2 linked regions of the Pelodiscus sinensis genome follow. The protein of the gene in region 2 interacts with the protein of the main gene of each other region in a pairwise test. Links are inferred from orthologs where the notes say so. Each region holds a gene or a part of one and is shown on either strand. Other genes may lie near its edges.

Evidence for each region.
Region 1: the proteins of TNFAIP1 (region 2) and EXOSC5 interact in binary tests that used the Homo sapiens proteins (3 or more experiments, as listed by UniProt). The two-hybrid records come from large-scale screens. The link is inferred for Pelodiscus sinensis from reciprocal best matches to the Homo sapiens genes TNFAIP1 and EXOSC5.

Annotation. Positions count from the first base shown.
Region 1 is NW_027465992.1:99,464-115,021, forward strand, and holds EXOSC5 (exosome complex component RRP46), read right to left. Parts: upstream 5,885-15,558; 5' UTR 5,849-5,884; coding exon 5,659-5,848; intron 5,149-5,658; coding exon 5,035-5,148; intron 4,654-5,034; coding exon 4,532-4,653; intron 3,018-4,531; coding exon 2,877-3,017; intron 2,322-2,876; coding exon 2,232-2,321; intron 1,513-2,231; coding exon 1,420-1,512; 3' UTR 860-1,419; downstream 1-859. Other genes in the region: BCKDHA (2-oxoisovalerate dehydrogenase subunit alpha, mitochondrial), read left to right, coding at 5,976-6,047, 6,760-6,939, 7,335-7,421, 8,353-8,461, 8,722-8,883, 9,619-9,825, 10,032-10,173, 10,252-10,423 and 1 more; B3GNT8 (UDP-GlcNAc:betaGal beta-1,3-N-acetylglucosaminyltransferase 8), read right to left, coding at 11,646-12,854, 13,600-13,680, 14,976-14,984. UniProt on the Homo sapiens protein: Non-catalytic component of the RNA exosome complex which has 3'->5' exoribonuclease activity and participates in a multitude of cellular RNA processing and degradation events.
Region 2 is NC_134731.1:11,334,494-11,350,604, reverse strand, and holds the start of TNFAIP1 (BTB/POZ domain-containing adapter for CUL3-mediated RhoA degradation protein 2), read right to left. Parts: upstream 6,793-16,111; 5' UTR 6,757-6,792; coding exon 6,545-6,756; intron 1-6,544. Other genes in the region: IFT20 (intraflagellar transport protein 20 homolog), read left to right, coding at 6,890-6,983, 9,057-9,185, 10,181-10,266, 11,150-11,253, 11,726-11,807; TMEM97 (sigma intracellular receptor 2), read right to left, coding at 15,063-15,313. UniProt on the Homo sapiens protein: Substrate-specific adapter of a BCR (BTB-CUL3-RBX1) E3 ubiquitin-protein ligase complex involved in regulation of cytoskeleton structure.

The sequences.
Region 1 (15,558 bases), on a different chromosome or scaffold from region 2:
GGCGAGGGCGTCAGGTCCCGGAAGCACCGGCTCGCGGGCCCCCTGGGGCTGGTGCTTTTGCAGGCAGCTCCCAGCAACCCGGCTGCGCTGCCCTGGCGGAAACGCTGCCTCCCCCCGCGCCATGCGGTGCCGGCCGCCCCGGGCTGGGCTCAATTCAAGGAGGGAAGCAGGGGGGCGGGGGGAGGTTCAGGTCAACCCGGGCAGGAGAGGGGTGGTTGGGAATTGGGCCCTGTGGACAGAGATCAGTGGGCAGGAGGGGGACCCAGGCCCTGCTCCGGAGGTGGGGCCCTGGCCCAGGCTGCAGGCAGGCGGGACGGGGGCCCGGAGGGGAAGGGAAGGGAAGGAATCACCATGTCCCGTCCTTCAGCCTGGTGCACGAGGGCCCAGGGGCCCGGCGGCTGCAGCCCCAGAGCTGGGCGCAGGCGGGGGGGGGGGGGTCGGTCCCTGGCTCCGGGGTGGTAGGAGGGGCAGGAGGAGACGCGTCAGCGAGCCAGAGTGGAGGGAACCCAAACCCCCGACTCACGGCCACTGGCACAAATCCCTGGGCTCCAGCGTGTGAACCCCCCTTCGCCCTGGCCTGGCTGCAGGGCTGGGCTCTGCTGGGAGCTACTGCACAGCTGCAGCACCCAAAGGGTTAACCTGGGGGGACACTCCGGCACTGCCCCCCCCCCCCCACACACACACCCAGCAGCTCTCCCACTCAGTTTCCCCCAACCAGTCAGCCAGCTTCATGACAGGCCCTGAATTGCACAGCAGCTGCTGCGGAGGCAAATGAAGGCCGCTGGGGGAGGGGGGGGACCCTGGAGCTCAGCTGAAGGTGCTGGGGGAGGGGGACACGGCTCACCCCCCACACAGCGGATGGCTGGGAAAGGCCCCGTTTAATGGGCACCGCAGTACAGCACGTGGAGGAGGGGAGGGGCGCCCGGAGTTCGGCCAGGCCTGTGCAGGGCCCATCCGGCGAGGGGCCCCCGCGCCACAGCAGTCCAGGGCCCGGCTGGGGGGCAGTGGGCGGAGCCGGGCGAGGGGCCCCGCGCCGCAGCAGTCCAGGGCCCGGCTGGGGGGCAGTGGGCGGAGCCAGGTGAGGGGCCCCACGCCGCAGCAGTCCAGGGCCCGGCTGGGGGGCAGTGGGCGGAGCCAGGTGAGGGGCCCCACGCCGCAGCAGTCCAGGGCCCGGCTGGGGGGCAGTGGGCGGAGCCGGGTGAGGGGCCCCGCGCCGCAGCAGTCCAGGGCCCGGCTGGGGGGCAGTGGGCGGAGCCGGGCGAGGGGCCCCGCGCCACAGCAGTCCAGGGCCCAGCTGGGGGGCAGTGGGCGGAGCCGGGTGAGGGGCCCCGCGCCGCAGCAGTCCAGGGCCCGGCTGGGGGGCAGTGGGCGGAGCCAGGTGAGGGGCCCCACGCCGCAGCAGTCCAGGGCCCGGCTGCCTCAGGCCTTGGAGTACTTCCGGTGGATGGAGTCCCGGTAGAAGCGGAAGACGGCGTCGGCGGCTCGCTGGGCAGCGGCGATGCACCTCTGCAGCTGTGGGGAGCAGGGAGACGGCGTGAAGGGGCCCCCAGCGGGCCTGGAGCGCCACGCAGCCACGACGCAGCCACGAGCGTGTACACACGAAGTGACAGCCACGCACTACCCAGCAGCGTGCGCAGTCACAAGGGTGCCCTGGGAAGCCACGTGCTCGCACGGCAAGGCCTGCGTGCACCATCACAACACGCACTAGCGCACTGCCCATGCCCGGGGGGAGTCTCTGGGGCGCAGCTGGGCCGGGGGCCGAGGCCTCGCGTAGCAGGCTCCAGTCTGGCGCCTCTGGCGCTTGGAAAGCCGGGAGCAAAGGCAGAGGGACCCCTGCTCGGCCGGTCCAAGCCCCGCAGCGGGGGGTCCGAGCTGAGCCCCGCCCCGCCCCGCAGTCAACCCCCACAGCGGGGCACAGGCTGGCAAGCAGAGAGCCTCATTGGGATTCCAGGCAGGCAGGCGAGACGTCTCCTGACAAACCCGCTTGCCTGGGGCACTCAACACCAAACACATCATGCCCCTCGCGGCTCGGCCACGCGCCGGGAGCCCGCCGGCAGGAAGGGGTGGGGGCTGGAATACCAACCCCCTCTCCCTGCTGCCTCGGGGAGACACCAGGGCTGCCCGCCTAGCCCCCCCCGCCCAACCCACACCCGGCCCGATGGGCACCCCATGTCCCGGTCTCCAGCAGCCGCAGCCTCCTGGCCTGCCCCACTCCCCAGGCCCCCACTCACCTCCTCTACTGAGCAAGTCCCCTTGGTAGTGGACATGAGCACCCGCCTCTCCACGCTGCTGATGGCGAAGGTCAGCAGGGCTCGCGCCTCCTGCAGGGGGAGGGCAGAGTGAGCTGTCTGCCCACGCTGCTGGGGGCGGGTCCACCAGGCCAGGCCATTCCTGTGACCCTGGGCCACCAGGTCCCTCAGCTCCGGTCCCTGCCTGCTGCCCTCCCACCCACTGCGCACCGCACAGAGAGCCCCACCGGCCCAAAGCCCTCAAGTCTTCCCTCAGGGCTTTGCTATCAGACCCTGGCCCAATGCTGGAGACAACTGCCCTTGGGCTGTTAGCCAGGCAGCTGGCTCGCACCAATATCCAGCGGCAGGGAGTTCCACAGGTTGCACGAAATGAGATTAACTCAACTTTACTACATCAGCTCCCAGTGTTGCCACCCCGCACTGGGCCTACGTTTCCCCTATTTCTGACTCGCTGTCACCTGCTGCACTAACCACTAGATCCCGCTGCGGCTCAACTCGAGCCCCGCACAGTGCCAGGTGCGGCACAGACCCCCTCCCCCCCGCCATCAGGCCCCCGTTATGCTGCAGGTTGCCATTAGTCCCACAGGACCCTGCAGCGCCAACCCGGCCTGGCCACCTCACACCCACTTTCTCCTGCTTGGCCGTAGGGTCGAGGCTGAGGGCTCCATCAGCATCCAGGGCGCATGTGACCCCGCAGAAGAGCGACTTCATGGGCAGGCCGGCATCCATCAGCCCCATGCAGGCCGCGTTCAGGCAGCAGGCCAGCAGCTGGCACCAGGTCAAGGGAAAGGCTGGCAGCCGCCGAGACAATCACCACCGACCCCCAGAGGCAGGACTCAGGCCTCAGAACCACCTGAGACCATGGCCCGTCGGGCCGGGCGCCCCCCAGGCCCCGGCCGAGATCAGGGCCCGTCGGGCCGGGCGCCCCCAGCCGAGACCAGGGCCGGGCGCCCACAGACCCCGACCGAGACCAGGGCCCGTCGGGCCGGGCGCCCCCCAGGCCCTAGCCGAGATCAGAGCACTGGGCTCTGTAGGGTCTGGAGGATGGGCAGGGGGCTAGGGGCTGACTTGGAAAGGAGAGTGGGGGCTAGTGGTTTCTGTCCCTGGCTCTGGCACAGACTAGTGTGACCCTGAGTAAGCCCCCCCCCGCGCGCAGAAACCCCCCCCCCCCCACGAGGATATTGCTGGTGGAAAGGCCACGCCAGGCCCCAGGAGGCGCAGGGCCGCATGCCCTTCCTGCCAGCGCTAATCCCTCCCCGGGGACTTGGCTGAGTGAAGAGAGAGCTGCCCCGGGCAGGCCAAATTAAGTCATCACTCCTGCCTCCATCAGTCTGAGCCAGCCGCCTCCGCCAGCCGCTAATCCCTGCGCCCGGCTACCCCCCCGAGACTCTGTCACTTAGCACCCACATCACGCACCACAACTCAATGCCTCCAGTGCCGGAACGGCTGCTGCACCCACTCCACAGCCCTGCCCAGCCCCGCTTCATGCCAGTTCCTCCGTGCTCGCCCACAACGGGCTGGGCTGCGGGTGAGAGCGAGGGGGAGGGCAGGGACTGCGGGTTGAGAGTGAGGGGAACTGGCAGGCCTGGGCTGGCAGGGGCTGCAGGTGGGGAGCAAGGGGCACCGGCTGGGCTGGGGGCACCTGGGGCTCCCATTCCCTCTTCCCAGTGCCCTGCTTCCCAGGGTCTGCCAGGAAGCCCCATCTGGGCACGGGCCAGAGAGCAAACCCACCCCTAGCAGCCACTGCCACAGCGCGGCCACCACTAGGGGTACCACGGGTTGTTCCATTGGGCGCAGCTGCAGCGAGCGGTGCAGGGGCCTGGACAGCCACAGAGCCGAGCCCTTAGGAACAGGGCCCGCAGGACGCACGCTCGCTCCCTGTCCCACACTGAGCAAGGCAGCCGGGCCTCCCCCAGCTGCCAGGGAGCACCCCCTGCGGACGCCCCTCCCTTCCCTGCGGCAGCCTGGGAGGTCCCCGCTGCCCCCTTAGGCTGCGAACGGCAGCAGCTCTGTCCTTCCTGCCCCTGCCCGCCACCCCCAGCCTGCCAGGGAGGGGCAGACGCACGCTGAGCTGCCTGGCCTAGGAGGCTGGGATCAGCCAGGGAGCAGGCTGTCCAGCAACTCCAGCCTGGGCGGGACCCCGGGGTCAGGGACGGCGAGCCAAAGCCCCTGGGTGTGCAGGGCGGCAGCTCCCACCCAATGGGGGGGGGATGGAAGAGCAAGCGGGCAAAGCGCCCCCCGGCACACGCCGGGCAGCGCCCCCTGCTGCCTGGGAAGGATACAGAGCCGGCGTCACTGACCACCTGCAGCACGATGGTAACGGAGGTTCGGGGGTGCAGGGTGCCCAGGATAACGGCCTCACACGTCCTCCTGATCAGTTGCTCCCGGCTCTTCTCAAAGACGCCTGGGGAAGGACAGGGGGGCGGGCTGACAGCGAGCCGGACCCGCCCCCCGCAGCCACCTGTGCACTGCCCCTGAAACCCAGCCCGCGACCCCGGCATACCAGGCACTGCCCCCACGCCCGTCCATGCAGACCAGGCCCCTCGTCCCCACAACCGACCCGCCCACCCAAGGTCAGCAGACCCTGAACGCGCCAGACAGACAGACGGACCTGCCCCCGGCTTGGGACAGAACCGCTCAGCGAGCTGCAGGCTGCTTTGTCAGTCCCGCTGCACGGCCGTCCTACAAGCTCCTATTATTGTAGGGTGCCCTGTAAACATGCAGCTGCCAGAACCAGGGACTTGGTTTTAAAGCCCCCCCCCCCAGCCCCGCGGCCGCTGCTTACCCGGGAGCCCCACTTTGGGTTTGAGCAGCACTTCCAGCGTGGCCTGGTCGTACAGCTCCCTGCTGCCCTTCACCTCCGCCGGGCCGTACAGACCGGCCAGCACCGACGTGTCTCCTGGGGGGGGGGGGCGGGTCAGACTCGGCCCCGCTCCCCGCGTCGGGGCGGGACTGGAAACCCGGAGGGGCCCGGGGGGGGGGGGGCCGACCTACGGGTGGGGGGGGCCCCGAGGCGAGGAGCCGGAGAACAGGGAGCCGGGGGGGGGGGGGGGGGGGAGCAGCTCCGGGCCGCAGGCAGGTGGGGGCGGTTTAGAGGGGGCCGGAAGTGAGGGTCCATGAGCAGAAGCGGGGGCCAGAAGCAGGGGTCCCCGGCCGGAAGTGGGGGGGGCCGGGCAAGAAGCGGGGGGTCCCCGAGCGGAAGCGGGGGGCCGGGCAAGAAGGGGGGCCGGAAGTGGGGGTCCCGGGCCGGAAGCGGGGGGGGCGGGCAAGAAGGGGGGCCGGAAGTGGGGGTCCCGGGCCGGAAGCGGGGGGGGCGGGCAAGAAGGGGGGCCGGAAGTGGGGGTCCCGGGCCGGAAGCGGGGGGGGCCGTAAGTGGGGGTCCCCGGCCGGAAGCGGGGTCCCGGCTCACCCTGCAGGAAGGCGGCGGAGCCGTCGGGGCGGCCGAGCGGGCCCAGCTCGCAGGAGAAGGGGCGCAGGGCGCAGCCCCCCGGCTCGGAGCCCATCGCGACTGCGGGCACCGCCCCCTCTGCACGCGGAACGCGGCCCCACCTACCGACCCCACTTCCGCTTCCGGGGCGGGCGGGGAGCCCCGTTTCCATAGCGACGGGCGCGCTACGGGGAGGGGGGTTGCCAGGGTGACGCGCAGACGGACGGCGCGGGGAGGCGGGATCACGGTTGCCATGGCGAGGGGGGCGGGGCTCCAGGCGGCCCCGCCTTCGCAGCAAGATGGCGGCGGGCTGGGGGCTGCGGCGGGGCCTGGGGCGGCTGCTGCGGGGGGCCCGGGGCCTGGGCGCCGCCGTGAGTGCGGGGGGGGGGGGGTGAGCGTCGGTGCTGCCCGCGGGGGGGCTCCGCGCCCCGTGCCTCAGTTTCCCCGCGGGGCGGGGCTCGGGGTCCCTGCCCCCCCCCCCCCCCGGGCCGGGATCCCCCAGCAGAGGCCGGTTTGGGCGGGGGCGCAGGAAAGGCCCCCCCCCCCCTACTCCCCCCCCCCCCCGCGCGGGCCCGGCCTTGAGCCGCCGCCGCAAGGACGCGGCGCCCGCCCCGGCCCCACGCGCCGATCACGCGCCGGCCCCGCGGGGGGGGCAGCCTCTTGCTGGCTGCACGGGGAAGAGGAAAGGGGGGCGCTGGTGCCCCCCCCTCTGTACCCCATCTCCGCAGAGGGGCAGGGTGGGGAGGGGCGCCCTGGGTCGCGGTGCCCAGCTGGAGGCTGCGTTCGGAACCCTCCTGCTCCCCAAATCTGCCCCCAGAGGGAGGGGTGAGCAGGGGCGGGAAGGGGGCGGGGCCGGGGTGGATCCTGGATTGCACTTCAGTTCCCACAGGGATCTCCCCCGTAAATCGGCTGGTGACCCCCCGGCTTTGAGTCCCCCCCCCCCCCGGCTCTCTTCGCTCGCAGGGCACCTTGGCCATACGCTCGCGGGGCCTCAGGCTGGGTGTCCCGCGGCGCAGACACGTGGGGGGAGAAGTGTCGGAGGCAGTGCCCCCCCCATCTCACCTGGTCCCTGTTGCCCCCCAGCACGCACGCCGGCAGCAGCAGGAGTTCACCTCCCTGGAGGAGAAGCCGCAGTTCCCTGGCGCCTCGGCCGACTTTGTGGACAAGCTGGATTTTATCCAGCCCAACGTGATCTCGGGGATCCCCATCTACCGGGTCATGGACCGGCAGGGGCAGATCATCAACCCGGATGCTGATCCCCAGGTGGGAGCGAGGTGCTGCAGGGAGCCAGCCCTGGTCTCCCCGTCTCCTGCAGGCGGTTCCTGCCGTCCCCCTGGGGCACCTCGTCTGTCCCCTCCCACCCACACACACCCCATCTTCCCAGCCCCCCGCTTCTGTCCTGCCACCTGGTCTGACCCAGCCTGGCCGCTCTGATGCTCCTTGCAGCCTCTCTCCCATTGGCTGCTTTCAGCCCCTTTCCTGACGGGGGCGGGGGCACACCGGGCTGCCTGGCTGGCGAGGGCATGGGACCCGAGCGCCACTCGGCTGCTTGGGCTTTTCTCGGCCCCGAGTCACCCTGAGATCAGAGCCCTGGGGGGCAGCGCCACCACCCGGCCCCTCCTGCGCTGACCTGCGGCTCCTCGCCCCTCCTGCCCCAGCTCTCCCAGGAGCAGGTGCTGAAGTTCTACAAGACCATGACGCTGCTCAACACGATGGACCGGATCCTCTACGAGTCGCAGAGGCAGGTGCGGCTGCTGGGGGGCAGCACGGGGCGGGCAGGGGAGGCCGGGAGGGGCTTTGGGGCTGGTTCCTGGGCACCCTGCGATTTGCTTCCGTGGTGTTGGATTTTAGGGTGATTAGCTCACCACAGGGGTAATTTCCCACAGTACAGGGCTGAGCACCAGGACTCCAGATTGTCTCCCAGCTTGGGGAGGGCAGTGGGGGCTAGTGGTTAGAGCAGAGGGGGGCTGGGCACCAGGACTCTGGGTTGTCTGCCAGTTTGGGGAGGGCAGTGGGGGCTCGTGGTTAGAGCAGAGGGGAGATGGGCACCAGGACTCTGGGTTGTTTCCCCGCTTGGAGAGGGCAGTGGGGGATAGTGGTTAGAGCGGGGTGGAGGGGGCAGGCGGGCACCAGGACTCTGGGGTTCTCTCCCAGCTCTGGGGGGAGGAAGGGGGAGGGGTCTGTGACTAGCTAAAATCACAGCAGTCCCCTTGGGGTTGTCCCGTGCTGCACTGACCGTGCCACTAAACTGGCCTTCCCGCCCACTGACGCCTTGTTGAAATGGAGCCGCGCTTCGTCCACCTCCCTCCCCGACAGGAATGAGGCATGGCCAGGCGGGGGTTGCACATTCAAACTGTAACTGTAAAATCAGCAGCTTACACGGCCTCTTTTGCATCAAGCATCTACGAATTCTGCACATTCATAGTCAAAAGCCAGTTCTCACACCGCATGGGAGGGTGGTGCGGAGTCTAGTGGTTAATGCCGGACCCCTGAGTTGTTCCCAGCTCTGGGAGGGGAGTGGTGTCTAGTGGTTAGAGCAGAGTTGATTCCTGGGTTCTGTTCCTGTCTGCTCCTCTGTGCATGTCCTCAAGACACAGACCTGGCCCATGCCTCAGTTTCCCCACAGTGGTGAGGATACTGGTCCAGTCCCCAGTTAATTCTTTGTTCCTTTTCCAGGGCAGGATCTCCTTCTACATGACCAACTACGGGGAGGAAGGGACTCACGTGGGCAGTGCCGCAGCGCTCGACGACACGGACCTGGTGTTCGGGCAGTACCGGGAAGCAGGTGCTGGCTGATTGCGGGGGGTGACCCCCACGGCCACCTCGCCCGCACGTCCATGCAGTGCTCACTGGGGGCAGCGCACACGCGCCCGAGCTGTCCCTCCAGGGAAGGCTGGGCTAAAGCCAAGCCACTTCTCAGCCCCTTCTGCCGTGGGACGTGCCTCTGAGTCCCAGGCCCCCGCGGGAGAGCCAACCCCGCGCCCATGGGGGCTCGCTGGATGCCCCGGGGCCTCCCCGTAACCCGGCTGCGGTTCTGTGCCCCAGGCGTGCTGATGTATCGGGGCTACCCCCTGGACCTGTTCATGGCCCAGTGCTACGGCAACGCCAGCGACACCGGCAAAGGGCGCCAGATGCCCGTGCACTACGGCTGCCGAGACCGGCACTTCGTCACCATCTCGTCCCCGCTGGCCACGCAGATCCCACAAGGTGAGGCCCCCGGCGCCCCTCCCCTGGCCAAGGGCGGGGCCAGTGCACCGGGCGGGGGGGCTGCCGAGGTTCCTCGCTCCCCACCTGCAGCCCCTGCCAGCGCCCTTCATTCCTGCCAGGCCAGCCCTCCCCTCACCCCCGACCTGCAGCCTCTGCCCCCTCCAGCCCTGCCAGGGCCCCTCACCCCCGACCTGCAGCCCCTGCCAGCTCAGCCCAGCCCTGCCAGGGCCCCTCACCCCCGACCTGCAGCCCCTGCCAGCCCAGCCCAGCCCTGCCAGGGCCCCTCACCCCCGACCTGCAGCCTCTGCCCCCTCCAGCCCTGCCAGTGCCCCTCACCCCCGACCTGCAGCCCCTGCCAGCCCAGCCCTGCCAGTGCCCCTCACCCCCGACCTGCAGCCCCTGCCAGCCCAGCCCAGCCCTGCCAGGGCCCCTCACCCCCGACCTGCAGCCCCTGCCAGCCCAGCCCAGCCCAGCCCTGCCAGGGCCCCTCACCCCCGACCTGCAGCCCCTGCCAGCCCAGCCCAGCCCAGCCCTGCCAGTGCCCCTCACCCCCGACCTGCAGCCCCTGCCAGTGCCCCTCACCCCCGACCTGCAGCCCCTGCCAGTGCCCCTCACCCCCGACCTGCAGCCTCTGCCAGGGCCCCTCACTCCTGCCCCACAGCTCCTGATCAGGAGGGCGGCTCGGGGCGAGGCACCAAGCCTGCGCTGACCCCTCCCCGCTGCTCTGCCCCCCAGCCGTGGGAGCTGCCTACACCTTCAAGCGGGACAACGCCAACCGGGCCGTGATCTGCTACTTCGGGGAGGGCGCGGCCAGCGAGGGCGATGCTCACGCCGGCTTCAACTTCGCCGCCACCCTCGAGTGCCCCATCATCTTCTTCTGCCGCAACAACGGCTACGCCATCTCCACGCCCACCTCGGAGCAGTACCGGGGCGACGGCATCGGTGGGGCCGGGCCGGGGGCAGGGCGGGCTCACGAGGAAGTGCCGCTGGGGAGAAGGGGGGGCGTAGAGCCGCTCTGGCCTCCCCCGAGGCACTGGCCAGGAGAGGGGCTCGGGCAGGAGGGAGTGTGGGGGGCCGGGGGAGGAAGTGTCTGAGGCGGGGCTGGCCCAAGGGGCGCAGGGTGACTGGCGGCTCCTCTCCACCCCCAGCGGCCCGCGGCCCCGGCTACGGGATCATGTCCATCCGCGTGGACGGCAACGACGTCTTCGCCGTCTACAACGCCACCCGGGAGGCCCGGCGCCGCGCTGTGGCCGAGAACCAGCCCTTCCTCATCGAGGCCATGACCTACAGGTGGGGGGGGGGAAGGGGCCGGAGCCAGGCAGGGGGTGGGACCTGCAGGGGGCGGGACTCACTCAGCTCCTCCCCCAGGATTGGGCACCACAGCACGAGTGACGACAGCTCGGCCTATCGCTCGGTGGACGAGGTGAATTACTGGGACAAGCAGGACCACCCCATCTCCCGCCTGCGCCACCACATGCTGAGCCGGGGCTGGTGGGACGAGGAGCAGGAGAAGAGCTGGAGGAAGAAATCCCGCAAGAGGGTGAGCAAGGCCCCTCCCCCAGCCCCAGGCTCCGCCCCCCTGGGCTGGACACGGACTCCCTGGGGGGGAGGGGCAGGCTGGGAGCCAGGATCCTGGGCCCCCTGCTGGCTCTGGGTGGGTGGTGGGGCCCAGTGGGCGGGGCTGGGTGCTGAGAGGGCAGCGGGGCCTAGTGGGCGGAGCTGGGCTATGAGGGCGCAACATGGCCCAGCGGGTGGGGCCGGGCTGGCTCACACTCCCTCCCCTGGCAGGTGATGGAGGCCTTCGAGCAGGCGGAGCGGAAGCTGAAGCCCAGCCCCCACTACCTCTTCTCGGACGTGTACGGCGAGATGCCCCCGCACCTGCAGAAGCAGCAGGAGGCGCTGGCGCGGCACCTCCGGCTCTACGGCGAGCACTACCCGCTGGAGCACTTCGAGAAGTGAGGCCTCCTGCCTGTGGGCTGCCCTCGGCTGGGGGTCCCTGGGCTTGGGGGGGGGGGTTAGTGCACTCTCTAATCAGCCTCTGCTTCGGGGGCTGGGTTCTGCCGGGAGGGGCCCTGAGGCCCCTGGGCGCCTGCCTGTTACGTGTGGGTTTGCTGCTCTGGGCGTGGGGGCCGCCTGCTGCTGTTACGCTGCGCTGGGATCCTGCTGGGGCCTGGCCCCCCGGGTGCCGGTGATCAATAAACTCTCCACACTACGGCTCCCTGCCTCCGTCCGCCACCCCCGTACCCAGCAGCGGGGTCCTGCCCGCAGCCCCCCGTCTGGGGTTCCAGGTGCCTCGCCCCAGAGTCCCCCACGCAGCAGGGGAGCGGCTGCTGCAGGCCATGGGAGGAGGGAGCATGTCTGGTCTCGCGGTCGCGGCATCACAGCCCCCTGGAGCCGCCATGGGGCAGACGCCCCTGAGGGCCTGTGTGGGACGAGTTCCACGCAGGGCATGTAGCCCTGCCAAGCACCGAGCACAGGGTCCTGCCACGCCCCTCAATGGCCCGGGGGGCTGGCAGGCAGCTTGGGGCGGGGGGGGAGAGGGAGGTTAAACGCAGGGAGAGGGCAGCAGAGTTGGGCCTGTTCCAGAGAGGGGGCCTTGTGTTTCCATTGGCCGTGTTCCCTTCTTGCCCTGCGCCACAGCATGGGCAGCCCAGTGCCCCCAAGCCAGGCTCTGCTGTGCCCATACATTGGGGGCAGCCCCCCACGCTGGCGACCCCTGGGGCCAGGCTCCGCCCCACCCCACGCACCAGGCTGGGGTGCCGTCAGCACTGCAGCTGCGGGTCCTGCAGCAGCCGCCAGAGGCGCAGCGTCTGCTGGGGGCTGCGGCGATGCACCAGGAGCAGGCGGCGGTGGGCGCACGGGTCGTCCCGGTCCTTCTCGGGGATGTCCAGGGTCTGGAAGGCGGGGTGGGCCTGGGCCGGCACCCCCAGCCCCTGGAAGCAGAGCCCGGCGTAGACGTCGTCGATGGGGTAGAAGGCCACGTGCTGGGCCATGAGGAGGAGGGGCCGGAGCAGGCGCCCGGCAAAGATGTAGCCGCCCCCGCCGGCGTAGGCCGGGTAGGGCCCCTCGTAGAAGGACTCGGGGATGAAGTACTTGCTCTGGGCCAGGCGGAACGGGGAGGCGTTGGCCATCACCTGCCCCGTGTAGAGCGTCTCGGCCCGGGCGGGCTCCAGCCCCGCCAGGAAGGCCAGCACCTGGGGCGTGTTGACGAAGACGTCGTCGTCGCCCTTGAGCACGAAGCGGGCGTGGGGGCAGTGCGCCGCCGCCCAGCCCAGGAACAGGAAGTCCTTGAGCGTCAGGTTGAAGAAGGTGTCCTCGAAGTCCCACACCAGCAGGTCGCCGAAGGCCTGGCCCTCGTGGGCCACCAGCTGGCGCAGGTCGGGCTGGTGCGGGCCGTGGGCAGTGCCCAGCAGGAAGAGGGTGCGCACCGCCTGCCCGCCCGGCGCCCCCTCCTGGCCCCAGGTCTCCCGCACGGCCTGGCGGGCGGCGAAGTGGCCCGGCTGTGACTTGATGGCCAGCAGCAGGAAGGGGCGGCTGCCGGCGCACTTGTGGGGCTGGTTGAGCAGCAGCGGGAAGCGGCGGCACCCGGCGTGCAGCACGAAGCGCCGGTGCTGCTCCGGGTAGGAGGCGAAGTCCCGGATCTCGGCCGCCACGGCCAGCCCGGCCCTGCAGTCCCACGAGCCGTTGGCCAGGCCCCACTCCAGCGCCCGGAAGAGCTGGTGCTGCTGGCGGTTCCAGTAGGCGTCCGCCTGGGGGATGCTGCCGCGCAGACGCTGGAGGGAGCTGTTCAGCCCGGCCGGGTCGACCTCCAGCAGCTCAGGGGGCAGGAGCTGGGTGGGGTGCTGGGCGGGCAGGGGCTCCGGCTGCTCCTCGCTCCACTCCACGTAGGCCTTCAGGGCCAGCAGCGTCAGCAGCGCCAGGGCCACCGTCAGCACCTTGGGCCCCTTCATGGCCCCGCGCCATCCCGGAGCCTGCAGCACGGGGGGGGGGGCTGCGGTCAACGGGGCCGAGAGCGGCCCAGGGAGCGATCCCTGCCAAGGTGACGCGGGCGCCTGAGGGCGGGCCAGGGGCCTGCAGGACGCATGCTCAGCTCCCCCCAACGGGGCACCGCGTGGGCAGCCCGGATCTCAGGTGGCTTGGCTCTCACACCTAGTGCCACGGACGTCACTTTCCCCTTGGCCACGCCGGGCGCGTCTTCCACGACCTCCAGGTGCTGCTTGGGGCAGGCCCCGGGCCCCGGGCAGCACTTCCAGCCTCCCTTGGGGCCGAGCCCCCCAGCCAGCCCCTGTGTGGCCCCAGGACCCTGCTCCCTCCCTCCTGGGCCCGGGCCCCGGTGTCCCTGTCTGCTCCGCCCCCAGCCGGACGGGCCGCTGCCTTGGGCTGCGGGGAGTTTGGGGGGCCACAGGCCGCTCGCTCAGCCGGCACCCCCCGCCCCTCGTGGAAAGGGGAGCCCCGGGGCTGGGCCCGGCCCCCTCCCTGCCTCCTTTACCCACAGGGATTGGCTGCCAGTAGCGGCTGGCCCGGGCCAGGGCGTTTCCTGGTCACTCCTGGGACCGGCCAGGCGCTGGCCAAGGGGCTCGCTCTGGGTCTCTCGCTTTGGAAGGGGCCTGGCTCCCCCGGGGGGCGCCCCCAGGGGCCCCGGCCGAAGCAAGGGGCTGGGGAAGAGCCTGGCTGTGACCAGCGCCCGGCCGGGGGACATGCGGCTGCCTCCGTTACCTCGCGTGGCTCAAGGGCCCGGTCCCTCCGCGCCGGGCTCGGCCATTCCCCGCCGGGCGAGCGACAGCCCCAGCGTGGTCCCTGCGAGGAGACAGGCCAGCTCAGTCCCTGGCAGCCCGGCCCCGGCGGGGCGGAGGGGCTGGGAGTCCGGGGCCGGGGCTGCAGGACCGACGCGCTAGTCCCTGGCCAGGCAGCAGCCGGGCGCACGGCGCCACGCCCGACACAGACCGCCCCGGCCGCTGCCAGACTGGCCTCCCGCGCAGGGCCACGGGGCCGCGACCGAGCGGTGTCCAGAGCCGGCCCCCAACCGGGGTCACCCGCCGGGGAGGGGAGCGGGGGCTGGGCGGGGCCCTGTTTCTACAACCCCCCCCCCCCCCATCCTGTTTATCCGGCACAGCTGAGTCCTGCCCCTCCCCAGGGCAGCCAATGGGGGGGGGCATAGCCAGGGCCAGGACAGTGAACCCCCACCCCATGGCAGTCCTGGGCTGTGGGAGGGAGCGGGGGCCACCAGCAGGGCTGGGGGGGCAGGACTGGGGGGTCGGGAGCAGGGGGCAGCGGCAGGGCTGGGGGGGCGGGAGTGAGCGGGGGGCACCGGCAGGGCTGGGGGGCAGGACTGGGGGGGCGGGAGCAGGGGGCACCGGCAGCGCTGGGGGGGTCGGGCCTGGGGGCGGGAGCGAGCGGGGGGCACGGGGGGAGACAGCAGCGGGTGCCTCGGGGGAGCCGGTCCCAGCCCCTGCAGCCCCCCCGGAGTAACCCCCCCCTGCCCGGCCCGCGGCGGGGAAGCCGGGGCCGGGCACCAGCTGGACGCGGCGGCGGCCGCTCGCTCCCAGCCGGGCTATGTCCAGCCCCCGGCCGGGAGCCCGGGAGAGACGCCGAGACCCGGCCCCGCTTTCCGTTCCGACCCCCCGGGCCCGCTCACCTCCGGCTCCGCTCCGCGCCCGCCTCGCCTCGCCTCGCCCGGCGCGATCCCGGCGCGCCCCACCCCGGGAGCGGCCCGCCCCTGCGGGGCTTCGCCTCCCAGCCCAGGCTCAGGGCGGGGCCGCCCCCGCGCCAGAAACCGCCCCCCCGGGGCTCCTGCCCGCGGCTGGGCTCAGGGCCCCCCTGGGGGCCACATTGGGCCCGGCCTGGCGCAGCTGCCAAAGGGGAGCAGCCCAGAGCCGCCCGGCCCGGGAAATGTCCAGCTGCCCAGGCCCACAGTTCTAGGGCTTAGGGGAAACTGAGGCACGAGGCAAGGCCCAGCTGCTGCATCATCACCATGAGAAAGGCGGGGGAACCTGCCCGTGGGACCCCAGGCACGGGTGCGTTACCTCCCCCCCAGGCTGGCGACAAGCCCCCCGAGCGGAACGCGGCGCCGTGCTCCGGCCTGCCCGGCTCACCGTGGCCATGTGCTGTGGACACCCACAGAGGCAGCAGGCGGCACGGAGCCAGGCCCCAGGCAAGGGGCTGGGGGTCCCAGGCGCCGGGTCCCGGCCCTGCAGGTCGCAGACAGCTGGCTGGGGCGGGCAGGAAGAGTAGTGTGAGAAAGAGGAAGAGGAAGAGGGAAGCTACAGCAGGGCTTGGCCTGGTGCCCTGTGCCAGTGTCCGGCTGGCTCGGCCCCGCCCGGGCCCCGCACTAGGGCAGGGGGCCGGGTGCTTACAGCCCAGTCGAGGCTGCCCAGCCCTGCCGCCGGGCGCCAGGGGGTCCCCACCCCGCTGCCCTGGAGTCCCCCGGGGCAACACCCACACACCACAGGGCTGGCAGTGTCACCGAGCCCCGCACATGCCTGGCACAACCCCCCACCCACGGCAGGGCGCTGGGAACCAGCCCTTCACAAGGCCACAGGCCACACCGTGCAGGCGCCAGGCTGGAGACGGTTCTAGGGCCACGGGGAGGGGTAACCCCAAAACCGCCTCCTCCCCAGCCTCAGCTGATGCTCACAGGCCACGTCCAGTAGCCACGGCGGTGCCCCGATCCGCCCA
Region 2 (16,111 bases):
GGCTGGAAGAACAGCGTGTAGGGCTTTCCTGGCAGTCTCCATTGTCAACTCGATTCCGATCCCTGTGGGGGCCATTCAATTTCTCTATCCATACACCTGGTACATCTTTGCAGTCAGAGTTGTTCTCACTAACAGGGGAACAACTAGCTGATGCTGTAGTTGCATTCCAATGTGGAGAAGATTGCTTGGGACCTGTTTGCTGAAACATTCCTCGCTGATGAGTGCAGATAAATGAAGTTAACCTGTCTCTAGTCCAGTCCTAGCCCCTCCCTCCCCGCCCCTCTTCTCTCCCATCCCCACACAAGCAAAACAAGAAATGGAACCAAACGAACGCAAGCAAAGATGGGCCCCATCTAACCCATCAGAGCCACGACCCTCTCACTGGACTCTGGATCTCACAGGCACCGGGCTGTGCTCAGCTGAGCTCAGGAGCAGCTGCACTTTGCTCCCAGAGCTGAAATCTCTTCCCTCCCTCCCACTACGCGTAGTCTAAAAGGGCGGATCTTTTTGCAGAGCCCAGGCACTGGGATGCAGCTCCTGAAGCCCCTGCATCGCGGGTGGGTGGGTGGGTGTGGAATGCGGCTCCACTCCTGCCTCCCTCCTGCCGGCCTGGACCTGCAAGCTCTGCCCATGTGCTTCCCTTACCTGCAGGCTCCACTCCCACAGATCCCATTGGTCGGGAACTGCGGCCCATGGGAGCTGCACCGGGCAGTGCCTGCAGGGGAAATACAGAGCCACCTGCCCACTTCCCCACTGTGCCACCAAAGGGGAGCTGCTCCAGGTCAGTGCCCCTCACCCTCACATGCACCCTATCTCCTACTTGGACCCTGTATCCCTACCCCAACCTCCTGCCGACCATATCCCTTGGCCCCAGCCTGGAGTCCCTTTTTGCCTCCCAAACCCTTCGTTCCCAGCTCCACCCCAGAGCCCATAATCCCTCATTTTGGCCCCACCCTGGAGCCTGGGGGAGCGGAATGACAAAATGTAATGGCCCTAGGCCCCCAGAAGAGTAAATCCAGCGCTGAATCTACCGATCTGTCCATTTCGGGTAGCAGGCTCTTCTGTCTTCTCACTTCTCCGGACAGCAAAAGGCACCATCAGTGATCTCTTACAAACAGCCCACTACCAGGTAGTGCAATCCTTTACTGCCCTACCGGCAGCATGAGAGAGCTAAGCATCCACCTGGTACAGAATAACCTCCCGAGAGCTACAGATGGCAACTTAAATGTCAGAGATTTGAAGAATCACTGATATTACAGACCCAGACAAACCTTCCAACAGCGTCATTCCCCCCTTTGTTGGATCTGAGTAATCCCTGCCAACTGCCTCTAATAATCCACAGTGAGTGGGAAGCAAACTCTGCAACATGCAAGGACACAGCAAATTCCACAAAGCATTTTGAGGCCAAAGCAGGTCAGTCAGGTTATAACTGGCTCTAATTGGCAGCCCCACTCACTGGTTGCATTCTTAACCTCCAGCTGAGCAGCCCTAGAAAACAAAGCCCAAATTCTTTTCTGCCTGCAAACAGGTTGAAAGTTCCTTCCTCGCGGATCATTTGAGCCAAGCATCTCAGAAGTCAGTATGAATCACAGGCAATCAGGCATCACAAAAGGAAATGGCTATAAAAGCAACTGTTGATCTGCAAGCGACTAATCACTAAGGCTATGTCTAGACGAAAGAGGGATGTAAATTAGATCCGAATTGGAAATGAAGCCGGGATTTGAATTTCCCGCGCTTCATTTGCTTAATGGCGGCTGCACGTTCTTTTGAAAATGGGTAGTTTGAAAGTGAAACTACTGTCTAGACGTGGGTCTTTCGGGGAAAAAAACCCTTTTTCGAAAGATCCTGTAAACCTCATTTTTTGAGGAGTACAGGATCTTTTGAAAGTTTTTTTTTCCTGAAAGAACCGTGTCTAGACGGCGGTTTCACTTTCGAAATACCCGTTTTTGAAAGAACGTGCAGCCGCCGTTATGCAAATAAAGCATGGGAAATTCAAATCCCGGCTTCATTTCCAATTTCAGTCTATCTAATTTACATCTCTCTTTCGAAAGAGGGATGTAGTGTAGCCATGCCCTATAAGAGGTGATCACCAAGACCTGCTTGGGTGTACTGTCACACAATGACAAGATCATGGAACAATACCACACTGTTCACTTCTGAGACCCCCTGTTAAAAGGTCCTAAAGCACATGACAAACACTAAGGAAATTCAGTCTCACAATACTCACGTGGTAAAGGTAAAGGTAAGTTACATACAGACAGTAAGTCTGACACAGGAATAGGAATAAAGAGCAGGTTTCCTATCTTATTTCAGATAACCTGACCTATGCTTTCGCTGCGATATAATCCATCAGGGATGTCCTTAGGATTTACGAGGGCCTATGCAGTGCGACTAAACTGGTGCCCGACGACAGCTGGCAGGGTGATGACTTTTGAGAGATGTGATTTTAGAATCTTCAGCAACACACTCATGAATAGTTTTAAACCAAATTTTAACACTAAAGGTCCTGTCGACTAACACAGTAAATTCAGAAACTGACACTATATACCTGGGGTAGGCAAATGCCTCTTCAATGCCTTCATTACCACCTGAATGGCTCTTTCACCGGTTGGATGTTCTGCTAATGGGTCTGGCAGGCTTTTTCATGTTAAAGTTAACTAGATCCTCTCCGCAAGAAGCAAAGCCACAGACCAGGAACAGGAAGAGGCAAATGGGTGGATATTAAGACCCAGTAGTGCCCCAAATTTTCAGGTGCCCTATGCAGCTGCATGTTCTGCATATGGGTAAGGACTGCCCTCTAATCTATCCTCCGTTTGTCTTTGTTACCTTGGAAAACAAAACAAAAAATAAGTTTTATTTGTGTACGGGCATTTTCACTTTTAGGTTTCAGTTGCTGAAGGGAAATAATACTGATTTAAAAATCAAGGGGCTTCATTTGGATTTTGTTTTAAACAATTACAATCGTCTGAGGTTTTCAGTAAAGATTAAATTTTGTAAAAACCAATTTTCAAATCCAGTTAATGTAGGGAGTGATTTAAATAAAACATGTTTAAAGACTTTCAGAATGAGTGATTATAAAGGTTCTGAAAAGGACAGAATTCAAGAGTCTGATCCTGCAATGAATGGCAGATCTCCACACCCAGTCAGAGTTCCAGAAACCTACATGAGTCTGCCTGACAGCATCTCATTGTAGAATCAGGGTCTTTGTTAGCGCTATTATTTTCTCCCAACAAAGCACAGAGGAGTAAAATAGGGAAATCCTTTTTGCCATCCAGACAAGTCGCATGGGAGCCAATACAATTGATTTCACATGTTAATTAAGAGGCAGGCTAGGAGACTTCACCCATACTCAGCAAGGAAACCCTCAATTAGCGTCTTGACTGTAAGAGGAAAAGTTTGTTACTCTGTCCTTCTTTCCTGCCTTGAGCAGGAAGAGTGGCACAAGATTGTAAATACAATAGCACAACATTTCATCTCTCACATCAGGAAACTGTCCCAGTTAATAACTACTGTAAATCCCAGACCACGTTCTCAACAGCTCAAAAGAAGCATTCATTTCAAACAGCAACACTCACAAACTAAGGACGATAAACACCACTCCCCATCTTTGGGTCCAGCCCGGTAGGGAGCTGGAAGAGAGACACAAACTGGTCTATTAGCGTTCGCTTGTACTACAACAGCAATATGTAGAGTCTCTAGCTGACATCAGAGCTCCACTGTTACAGGCTCTGTACAAACATGGAACAGGAGACAGCCTGCACCCCAAAGTTGATCATCTAAAACAGCGGTGGGCAATCTGTGGCCCAAAGGCCGCATGGCACCCAATGGGGTTCTATATGTGGCCCATGAGACATTTTGTTTACCGTTGCCCATGCACAAGGTTGACAGATTGTGCCAGTTTTCGTCCACATAGTTCCTTTCCTACTAAAGTGACACACAGGTAAAGCAGGGGCACATGAAGTGAGGTGCGTGCTGACTGTACACAATATCGCGAGAGCCGTGTGCTCCCTCTGAAACCAATCAAAGCCCTGCTACGGTTACATCCGCACACCCTGCCAATTCTAGGTACACAAGCAAAACCATACTATCCCGGGAGACCGACTTGGCTACAACAATCTTGCAACCAATTGAAATGAAGGGCTACTCATGTGGCCCACTCACTAGCCTAGGCTGCCCCTCACTGGTCTAAACAGATGACAAACACCACCACTGCGTTCTTACACGGCACTTTTCATCGGTCGATCTCAAAATGCTTATAAAGGAGGGTGAAAGATCTCTTTTATTGGACCTACTCTGCTGGTGGAAGAGACAAGCATTCAAACTATAATGGAGAGCTGTATCATTATCTCCATTTTACACATGGGGAAAACATGCCTAAGGTCAGGGGCAGAACCAGGAACAGAAACCAGCTCTCGTTTTTGTATTAAGACTTATCTGTAGGAAACAATAAGCAGCATGGCCTAGTCCAGGAGTAGGGAACTTCAGGGCCGTGGGCAGCCCCCAGTTTGCCTGGATGCAGCCCCCGAGGCTCAGGGCTCCCCCCCCCCCCCCAGCATTGGGGAGACCATGTCTACGGTGGGACTGGAGCACACAAAATCTACTAGCCTGAACCCCACTAGGTTCTGGTATGTAAGGGGAACGTGGGGAGTGTCTTTCTCCTTCTCAGGGACCACGTCAATGAGGGCTGGGTTTTTTTGTTTTTTTTTTTCTTCTTACTTGTGTGCAGCCCCTCGATTGATTTTTCTGTGTGTTAGCAGCCCTCAACCCAAAAAAGGTTCCCCACCCCTGGCCTAGTCAAGAGAGCGGAGGAGTGGAACTTGGAAGACTGGTCATTTTTGCATCAGTTTCCTCAACTGTAAAATATGAATAATGTTGCTGTCCTCCTTTATAAAGCCAGGTGAGATCTTGGGATGAAATGAAATGCACTGCATGAGAACTAGTCAGTAGGCAGCAAAAGAGAGACCATTCCCTAGATTGCAGAGAATCGTGACTGCGCACACAGGAATTTATTTTCAAGAGGCATGGGGGACACCGGCAAGAGAATCTAAGAATTCCTGCTGTAAATAAAAAAAGAGAGGGCACTGGACATCTATAAGGCATCCTCAGAACATGCAAGAAGCTGCCTTACAAAGGGATAAAATATTTGCTTATGGTGCCTCTGTGCATTTACATTTACAGACATTAGTTAACCCTCACTGTCCCCCTGGGAGGTAGGGAACTTTACAAATTGTTAGTCCTGCTTCATAGGTAGAGAGAAACATGGCCCCTTCTGCAAGGAGCAGACATACCATATGAAAATACTGTAAAACTCTTTGGGGAAGGGATCATGTTTTTTGTTCCAGGTCTTTACAGCCGAGCACGCTAAGGTTCTGGTCCATGAAGGTGACTCCTGGTCACCAGCGCGATACAGCTAACGAGTAATGAATGATATACGACAAAGGGAAGAGAGGAGAATGGTTCCCAACTCTCATGAAGTTACCGTAAGTCTCAGCATTCTTAGTGTGATTCCTGAAACACTTTGTGAAGCGCTCGGAGGCAAAACGTGCAACATGAGAGATCAGCATTGTTATTATTGAAGTCCCAGCTCCAGCACCACAAGTATCTCGGCCCATCCCACCCTGATCCCCGCTTACAAAAAGTTGTCCTCCTTCCACTAGGGACAACCCTAAAGGCTTCAACATAGGAAAGGAAATACCACCCCCCCCCCCCCCCCCCCCCCCCCACACACACACATTTAACATTGCCCACAAATGAGAGGACTTAATCTCACTAATTTACCCTTTTGGCCAGACCAATGATATCGGTGTGTTTGTAGCAGATATCACCAGCCCCACCACAATCAGGTAGACAAACACTTTGATTAGTTACGCACACTAGGGTTTATACTCACAGGGGATACGTGTTGGGGGCATCCTCCCCACTCCAACCACTCCCAGGGGCATTTACCCGGCTTCCTTCTTGCCCCCAAGTCCAGGGATATTTACCCACCCACCTCCCTCCTTCCTTCCTTCCCCCCAGCCTCAGGAATCTTTACCCACCTCCCTCCCTCTTTCGCTTACCCCCCCCCCCGCCAGTCCCGAGGGTATTTACCCGCCTCCCTCCCACCCTCTTTCGCTTACACCCCCCCCCGCCAGTCCCGAGGGTATTTACCCGCCTCCCTCCCACCCTCTTTCGCTTACACCCCCCCCCCGCCAGTCCCGAGGGTATTTACCCGCCTCCCTCCCACCCTCTTTCGCTTACACCCCCCCCCGCCAGTCCCGAGGGTATTTACCCGCCTCCCTCCCACCCTCTTTCGCTCCCCCCCCCGCCAGTCCCAAGGGTATTTACCCGCCTCCCTCCCACCCTCTTTCGCTCCCCCCCCGCCAGTCCCGAGGGTATTTACCCGCCTCCCTTCCTCCCCCACCCAGCCCGCTGGTATTTACCCGATTCCCTCCCTTCCCCCCACCCAGCCCGGGGGTATTAACCCACCTCCCTTCCCAGGCGGGGAGTATTTACCCGCCCCCCAGAGTATTTACCCGCCTCCCTACATCCCGGGGGTATTTACCCGGCTGCGGGCCCTTCGTGCTCCCCGAGCTGCTCGCGATGCTTCCCCGCGGCCCCCGCTGCAGGAGATCCCGGCCCAGCTCTCCGCCCTGCCCCGGGCACAGCCTCCGAGCGCAGCTTCCCCGGCGCGGGCCCGGCTCCTCCCCCCCACGGCCCGGGACCGCTCCCTGCAGCGCAAACTACAGGCTCCGGCATGCACCGGGGCCGGCCCATCGACCGCGACTCCCAGCATGCACCGGGGCCGGCCCATCGACCGCAACTCCCAGCATGCACCGGGGCCGGCCCATTGACACCACAGGCATCGCATGCCACAGGTCTCTGTCTACCAAGGACCACAGTCCCCAGCATGCACCGGGGCCACCTGCCCGCAGAGGCCGCAGCCACCAGCATGTCAGAAGGTCGCCACCGCCTCAGGACTACAAGCCCCAGCATGCACTGGGGTAAGAGAAACGGCGCGAGAAGCGCTCCCCAGCGGGCTTGTGCCCCCGTCGGTGCGTGCGGCGGGGCCAGGGGCAGGCTGCGGCCGAGCGGCGGCAGGGGGCTGAGCCGGGCGGGCTCTGCCGCTGTCTCCAGCCGCGCCGAAGCGGGGGCGGGTCCTCTCCGGGCGGGCGCCGCGTGGTGGGACTACAGCTCCCGTGATGCACCGTCCCCCCTCCCCCCGGGAGTGGTACGGTCCGGCCGATACCGGCGCTGTCGCCGTGGCAGCCGGAGGCCCCAGCGCCCTGCGAGCGGGGGCGTCGGGCAGGTACGAGGCGGCCGCGCGGCGGCTCCCGAACGCCTGGGGACCCCGGCAGCGCCGCCTGGAGACGGGTCAGCCCCTCCCCCCCCCTCACCTCCCCCGGCCAGGTCAGCCCCTCCCCCCTCCTCCCGGCCAGGTCAGCCCCTCCCCCCTCCTCACCTCCCCCGGCCAGGTCAGCCCCTCCCCCCCAGTCAGGCCAGGTTAGCCCCTGTCAACTCCTCCCCCCCCCCGCCAGGGTCAGCCCCTGTCCCCTCCCCCACACAGCCAGGCCAACCCCTGTCCCTCCCCCCCCCCCCCCACAGCCACGTGGGCAACAGGCTGGCTTTGTCCCCCCCCCACACACACACCCCTGGGCACTTGGTCACTTCAGCCAGCTGCATAAAAAGCCCCGGGGAGGTGAAGCAGCAGCTTCCGTCCCTGGGACAGCAGGTAAACTGAGGCACACAGTGTTCCAGGGACTTGGCAGCAGTCAGGGAGCAGCCCCTTGGCTTTACTTGCCCCACTCCACTTTCCTGTTGTGCGACAACACTGTGGTGAGCTAAGGGCGCGGGGGGAGAGATGGGGAGAGGGCCGACCATGGTTGCCTCAACCCCAAGGCTTTTCTGACACTGTCCCTCTCAAACTTGGTCTGGGACTAGCAGCCCCAAATCCGTCCCATGCACTTGGATCACGGCAGCACTATGGTAAACATGCTCCCACGGGGTCCACACTAGCTTGGTTGTCATTGCTGCCCAGGGTTAGGGGGGGGGGGGGAGAAAGCCTTTGTGTAGACAAGAGCAATTGTTTTCTAAGGTTTTCTTCAAGATTCCCAACTCTCTGTGGAAAGCCTGCCCTCTGTGGAGAAAGGCTAGATGGGAGTGGGCATGTGGTAGCAGACAAAGTGAGATGACATTTGCCTTGGGGAGCATTCCCCACCCAGGCTGTCCATTACTGCCTTGCTCTGTGACCTTGTGACAGCTCCTCTATACATAAAGCTACCAGGTTCTGATCAGCATCATAACCTCTGCCATGTAGTGTATCTGCTCAGCACGCATGTATGCTAAAGCCAGTCAGCTTCTTTGCATGAAGTGGCACCAGGCCAGATGAAGTGCTAGCTGTCGACCTCGAAACACCCACCCTGGGGAGAGAAGCAGCTTTGGGCGTATCCAGGCAGCTGTTTCTCATTGTGTCATGTTCCAGTTGCCCTAACTTTCCCTGTACACAACCAGCTCCTGGGGCTCACGCAGGGACCATCATACTGTCATTCTTCCTGGACAGTGGGATGGGACTCAATGGCTGCGTCTAGATTGGCATGATTTTCCGGAAATGCTTTTAAATGAAAAGTTTTCCATTAAAAGCATTTTTGGAACAGAGCGTCTAGATTGGCACGGACGCTTTTCCGCAAAAGCACTTTTTGCGGAAAAGCGTCCGTGACAATCTAAACACGCTTTTCCTCAAAAAAACCCCGATCGCCATTTTTGCGATCGGGGCTTTTTTGCGGAAAACAAATCTGAGCTGTCTACACTGACCCTTTTGCGCAAAAGCTTTGCGTAAAAGGGACTTTTGCCTGAACGGGAGCAGAATAGTATTTCCGCAAGAAGCACTGATTCTTACAGGAGGAAGTCAGTGCTTTTGCGGAAATTCAAGCGGCCAGTCTAGATACAGCCAACACCTTTATTTTTAAAGTTCTGTCTTGCTCTGATATGAGCTCTGGGGTCTTAGAGTGCAATTTGAAAATGGCTGCAAGTTTAATGCTCTTATTTGCATGCTTTTTATCTTTAAAACGGATGTCTAGATATGGCCAAGGACATTCTAGGCGATGCAAATCTTCACTTTGATGAGCTGAATAAATTACGAATTTTGGATCCGGAGGTTGCACAGCAAACAACTGAACTCAAAGAAGAATGCAAAGCTTTTGTAGACAGTAAGTTCTTCCCCTTTTTTTACTTTCCTTGGTCAAGCTCTCAATCCTACTAAATACCGTACCAGCCTCCTGTTTTCAGAGCTTCACTGCACCCAACCCCTCCAGAGTCTCCCCAGTGCCAGCCCCCAATATTAGCCCCATCCTCAGAGTACCACAGTGCCAGCCCTGCCCCTATAGCCACCCTACACTACTAGCTCAGCCCCCAAAGCCCCCAAGCACTAGTCCGCCCCCCCCCCCCCACCTAGCCCTGCACTGCTGCCTGCATCACGGCTGCTCTGGGGATTGGGGTACACTGCCCAGCGCCGCCCCTCTTGTTGCAGCTGTTGGGAGAGGCGTGTTCTGGGCCGGGCAGGGGCGAGGTCTCCTCCAGCTGTGGAAGAGCGGTTCCCTATGCAGCGGGAGGGCCGTGTGGCGCAGGGTCTCCTCCCAGCCACAGACCAGCGCTTCCCTGCGCAGCAGGAGGGGTGCGCAGAGTGGCTCCGTGCGGCCCTCCCACCACGCAAGGAAGTGCTCTTCTGTGGCTGGAGGAGACCCCTCCGCCTGGCGCTGATTAGCTGAGAGGCAGGGCAGGCCCGCCTCTCCCAACAGCTGCAACAAGAGCACCATGTACCCCAGCCCTGGGCCCCAAGAGCCGCCGCGGCCCGGCAGCCAGAGGTCTGTGGCCCGCCTGGCAGTTGGGAACCGCTGTGGTAGGGCACCTATTCTTGTATAGGCAATGGCATCTCTTTTTAAATATAGATCTAAATAAATAACAGAGGGAAGGAAGACTGAGAAGACAAGAACCTAATCAGTACTTAATGGCCTTTCATTATATTTTTCTCTCCGTCTTTTGTATAGAAGTCTTATAGTAAACATTCCTAATACAAGCTATTTAACAGTGTTAAGGATATAACACACAAACCCTGGATAAAAGCACACCAGTGCTATGGTATAAGAATTTTGGTCATTTTGACAAACACTTCTGGCTTAAACACCACCATTTTTTCCCCTTTCAGAAATTGCAGAGTTTCAGAAAATAGTGGGTAGCTTAATAGAACTTGTTGATCAACTAGCAAAAGCAGCTGAAAATGAAAAGATGAAGGTACTGTACATGAAATTATTGGTTCCTGAAGTATTCTGTCCTCTACAAAACACAGTAGCCCCTGCCTTACCTGTGTGTGATTTAAGCAATCTAGGTGGTTATTCAATTGATATGATAGAGATTGTTTTAGGGATCTTTTAAGTGGTCGAGCTGTTAACACCTATTTTTGGATTAACATCATAGTTATCCCTCCCCAAGGGCTTAAAGGACTACTGCTAGCCTGTGGCACACAAACAAGCAAGCTTCAGGTCATTCCTGGTGCTTCCCCTCCTCCCCCCAACCCTACAGCTGATCCATTAGATTTGCATGTAAATAGCAGATTTCTTCCTTCTAATCAATCTTGTCCTTCTACCAGTTCATTCAATGGGGCCAAAATTGAGTGCATGGAACAGTAGGTTTTAATGAGATGTTGGGGACAGCACCATCACTGAAGACATGTGGCAGAAGGAAGCAGCTGATTAGAAACAAAGCGGTTTTGTTTGTACACATCTCAATAGCTACTTTTGCAATCGCCACACTTGTAGAAATACATGTTACTGGGATCTCTACTTTATAGGTCAGTCTAGAAACAAGCATGAACATTTGTTGTTTAAAAAACCATGTATATAGGACAAAACTTATTTATCTAGGAAAAGGTTCAGAACTAATGGTCAATTCTGTGCTTAAATATCCGTTGCCCCAGTCATCCAGAGGTCAAGTAATATGTTTAGACTTTGCACTTAGTCACAGTAATGAATGTTTGAATGGCAGCTCTAGGAAGCCGTTATCTTCCCTTGAAGTCTAATTATTCAAACCCCTTGGACAAATGACTTGTTAAAAATGACAATAGCACTATTGCTAAAACCGAGAGCACTATTACTAAAACCCAGTCTTGGTTCCCTAGGCAATTGGTGCCCGAAACTTGTTAAAGTCTATAGCGAAACAGAGAGAAGCCCAGCAGCAGCAGCTTCAGGCTTTAATAACAGAGAAGAAAATGCAGTTGGAAAGGTAAGTTAAGATGGCCTGTGAAGCCAAGACCAATAGTTTTCCAGGAGTTTTGGTTTGACATTTTGAAAGGATAAATAGTAACAACAAAGAGTTACACACACAGCATCAGGACTGGGCTAGATGACCTCTCAAGGTCCCTTCCAGACCTAAAACAATGGTCCTATCGGGGCTCTTCAGTGGTAGTTCTTTATATAAGGAAACTGGACCTCAAGCTCAGTGCCTGCCTGCCGAGCGGTTTCCCACAATAAATCTGATATATGAAACACCTGATGCTATTGATATTTTCCCCCATGCACAACATTGGACACAGTTTACAAACTTTTTCTAAAGCTGACATGTCAGTACAGGCAGCAAGTCAACTGCGTAGACATTGTTGCGTTCTCAGAGTATCACTGGTTTTGTGGATTAAAATTGTCCCAATATTTAAACTCTAAATACAGGTTGTAAGCATTCTCTGTGTCTTTTTTTTCAGATACCGAGTGGAATATGAGACCCTTTGTAAAATAGAAGCTGACCAGAATGAATTCATCGACCAATTCATTTTTCAGAAATAAGGATTTAAGACCAACACCAACTCCCTTGGCAAACTTGTACTTTTCCAGTATCCTAAGGATTCTTATGATAAAGTTTTATATTGCATAGGAAAGATCAAAGCAGTATGCAAAAAGGTTAAAACACTAATTTTTTTTTTTACACTAGATGAACTTACATTTAAATGGCAAAAGGAAGAGTTTTCTATGCATGTGTAAATAAGATTTCTAACCTGTCTCTTGTTTTAAAAAAAAAAATGGTATGGTCCTCATCGTTTGAATTCATTTAATTTTTGAATACTACCTTTACATGTCCCTCCCCCCTTTTTAAGTTTACCATACTTCCTAAGGAATCAGGAAATAAATTATTGTTTTTAGTTTCTTTTTTCAGATTGTTTTTTGAAAGGCCAAAAATCAGCTGCGCAAGTTTTGTATATAATTTAAGAGACTGTTTTCCTTAGATTTAACTAGTTCGCTGGATTGTCGCATTAATAGTTTTACCAACTAGAGCTTTTCATGTTTACACAGACACAAATCACAACATTGAGAAGCACCAATAGCTTTTTATTTGGACTGATCAGACAACAATGGCTGTCCAGTTTAAAAAGCCACACACATTCAAATTTGTGACTAACAGAACCCACAAGTGGCAATCCAAAATTCGAAAACATACAGCAGAATTAAAGACAGATTATACCTAAGGTAAAATCTGTTCTTTTACAATTACAGACTGATGTTCAGAATAGCAATTTGTTGGGAATTTTTAACAATGAAACAAGCCACCAGTAACTAAGGTCATGTCTATTCTACATGGAAGATCAGTGCTGCTGCGGTCAATCTTCCAAGTTCGATTTAGCGAGTCTAGTATAGACCCACTAAATCTAACTCAGAAGGCACCCCTGTCGTCCCCCCAGTACTCCTGCTCCTCATGAGGAGTAAGGGAAGCAGATGGGAGTGTTTGCTTTCATTGACCTTCCGCTGTGTGGACAGTGCAGCAACATGATTTAAAATATGTCGACTCCAGCTGCATATTTAAACACAGCTGAAGTTGCATCGCTTAAGTTGACCTTCCGCTGCAACGTAGACCAGGCCTAAGAGACCATCCTGAAGTCTTTGTGACAGAAGCGGCTGTTTTGACAATGGATGTCTAAGGTCAGGCTCCACAATCCACCTTTGGATATCTGACTAGGACAGGTCTGATTTTCCAGAAGAGCGGAGCAGCCACAAATCAATAAAGAGCAACAGAAGGTGCTGGTGGTCAGCATCTGAAATAGAAGTCAGGCTGCTTATGTAAGGGTATGTCTACACTTGCACCCTCTTTCGAGAGAGGGATGCAAATGAAGACATTCGAAATTGTAAATGAAGCCGGGATTTAAATATCCCGTGCTTCATTTGCATATTTGCGTTATGGTGCTATTTCGAAATAACAGATGCTGTTAAGATGCGGTTATTTTGAGAGAAAACCCTTCTCTCGAAATAACCCTTATTCCTCATACAATGACGTTTACTAGTTATTTCGAGAAAAGGGTTTTCTCTTGAAATAACCACGTCTTAACAGCGTCTGTTATTTCAAAATAGCGCCATAATGCGAATATGCAAATGAAGCGTGGGATATTTAAATCCCAGGTTCATGTGCAATTTTGAATGTCTTCATTTGCACCCCTCTCTCGAAAGAGGGTGCAAGTGTAGACATAGCCTAAGTGCTTAGGTGGAGTTGTATATTTAACTGTAGGCAACCAAGCCATGAGACCACTGGACCTTGTAATTTGAAGCACAGCACTTGGCTAAATATTCAAATATACTTCCAAGGACAGACTAGGCCTGGACCCACTAAACAATTGACATTGCCGCACTTTAGATGCTGATACTTGCCCTTTGAAAAGAGACTTGACTATAAGACCAGACCACTTGCCACCAGTGTCCAATGGCAACACATTTGCGCATTTCACCTCCGATGTGGCTGCAGATGATCTGTGTGTCAAGCGACTAAAAGGAGGCTGCCCCATCACACAGGTTTGGCTCGGCTTGCTCTCTCCTCTGTACATGGAAATGGAGGAGTGGACAGGCCAAAGCTAAGCGGGGAGGCAGCCGCATGCACGAGGTCATACAAATACTAGGTTTGGGGTCCTGCAAAGAGGGGACCCAGGGCAAGCTCCCCCTCCCCAGGCAGCCCAGAATGTGGGAAATGTTCACTTCAACTGAAATGGGCTGGGAATCCAAGTAGACTAGTCCCACAAACCCAGCACTGCTGGGAGGAACGCTGCAGATCAGAAGTGGTAAAATATCCCTGCTCAAACCAGCAAGGAAAAGATTTTAGGACCCTTTGGGAAGAGAGGTGCTTTACAAAAAGCAGATGCATGTCTCAGAAACCCACTTCAGAGGCAGGTTTTGAAATGTACTGACAGCTGATTCAGCTTAATAATCAAAAATGGAGCTGGGAGAAGCAGACTAAAAGAGCATGGGGTAGTTTGAGCTGGTTTGACAATGACACATAAGAGGGTGTTTGAGATCTTGGCGGCAGCCTGGAACACTGGGCAAGGCGCAAGATCAAAAACGTAACGAAAGACCCAGCATTTTGGCCAACAAGTTCAGAGTTACAGAATCGTAAAACTTCAGCAACTGCATGATTTGGACAAGAATAGCCAGTTGTATTTGCGCATCTGCCGTAAGAATCTAGCGGGCCAAGTTCTGCTCTCAGCACTACCCAAGTCAAAGGGATTGTGGATATGGATCTATGGGCAGAAACAGCCCCTGTTTTTACTGCAAATAAAAATGATACCTAATAGCACTTCCTCCCTCACATCCTCTTTGCTCCCCAGCTGCTTGCAGTTGATTAAGTCATAACACTGTAGGATTGTGCAGCCTCCAGCAGGCCTTATTTTTAAACAGAAGGAGGGATCAGGGGTTTCTCACATGGGTATATTTACCATGGTCTTTTGAGAAGGAGAGCGGTTGAAAGGGAGGCAGAATATGCAAATGCACTCTTGTATCTTCAATATTGTGCATCAAAGGCTGTACCGATTGCTAGCACGGATGAAAAAACACTTTGCCAGCAGCAGTGAAGCTAGGTCCCGTTAGCCACAAACAGGTATAGCTTAGGCAGTTGCTACTGGGACCCTTCTTTTGGGAGGAGCAAGGACCTTCAGCCAATTCAAGTCTTCCATTGGGAATTCAGTTGCGTTGAAGGAGCAGACTGTGCTAGACGGGCATTTATCCCACAGGATTGAGAGGGGCCAGAGACCAGCTGGGGCTAGCTGCTTAGTCAGTTTCCATTTGCCATTATTTCTTTTTCCTTTTCTCCACTGGGTTGTACTGGGGGCTGTGCAGCATGGTAAGCAGGATCAGAATTGGAATCAGCAAATATGGCACATAGATGGACAACAGAGTAAGGCGTTCCTGCTGAGTCTTGGGACCCAGGTGCTTGGATGCTGCGAAATCATGAAACAGGATGTGTGCAAGGATAGGAACCAGGGTTGTAGCTACGTGAGTGGAGTAGATAATTGCTGGAGTCCGTATCCATTTGCAGCCACCTGTATTTGAGCCAGAAAAAAAAAGCATAAACAACATTTGTTTGAAGGTTCCAATTCAGAAGGCTGCATTCAACAGTGATAGGATAAATACTTTAAAGAGGGTGAAAGTACATTGAGATCTACCTATGAAAGCGGCTATAAAAGAGGGAGGTATTACCAGAAAATTAACCTAGACTGCACAAACCTCAGTTGCAAGGAATATATGGTAGCAGGAACACTAATCTGGTTTTTTTTAAATGGAAGAGTGGCAACACAAGGCATGTCAAACAGAAGCTCAGAAAGACAAGAGTCCTGGGACATCACATCAAAGCAAATGGATAAAATATGCCCATCAAAATGTAGAGGATGATGAGTAGTTGAATGACTTGTCCAAGGTCATACAAGAAGTCAGTGGCAGAGCCTGGAATTAAAATGCAGCCGTCACTGGGCTGCATTACTTAGACACATAGGATATTTGGTTTAAAAAAAGGTCTCTGATGTGGAAAAGTATATTCTGCCAGTTTTGATAAGCATCAGTGAAAGAATATTTTGTCCTGTTTTTATTTTAATTAACATTCCTATAGGCTCTATTAGACACTCCTTACTTAGGCAAAAAGCCTACATGTTGAACCTCTCTGGTCCGGCAACATCTGTGGTCCGGCATGATTTCAGTGAGCTGGCTGTCCACTTTATCATGGGTGTGGCCAAGTTCTCCACGGTCCCATTCAGTTTGTTTGTAGACACCAGTCCTGGCTCGGTGTTCTGTGCTGTTCTTGAGCTCTAATTTACCCCGAAATGTCTTCTAAGAGACCAGGAAGC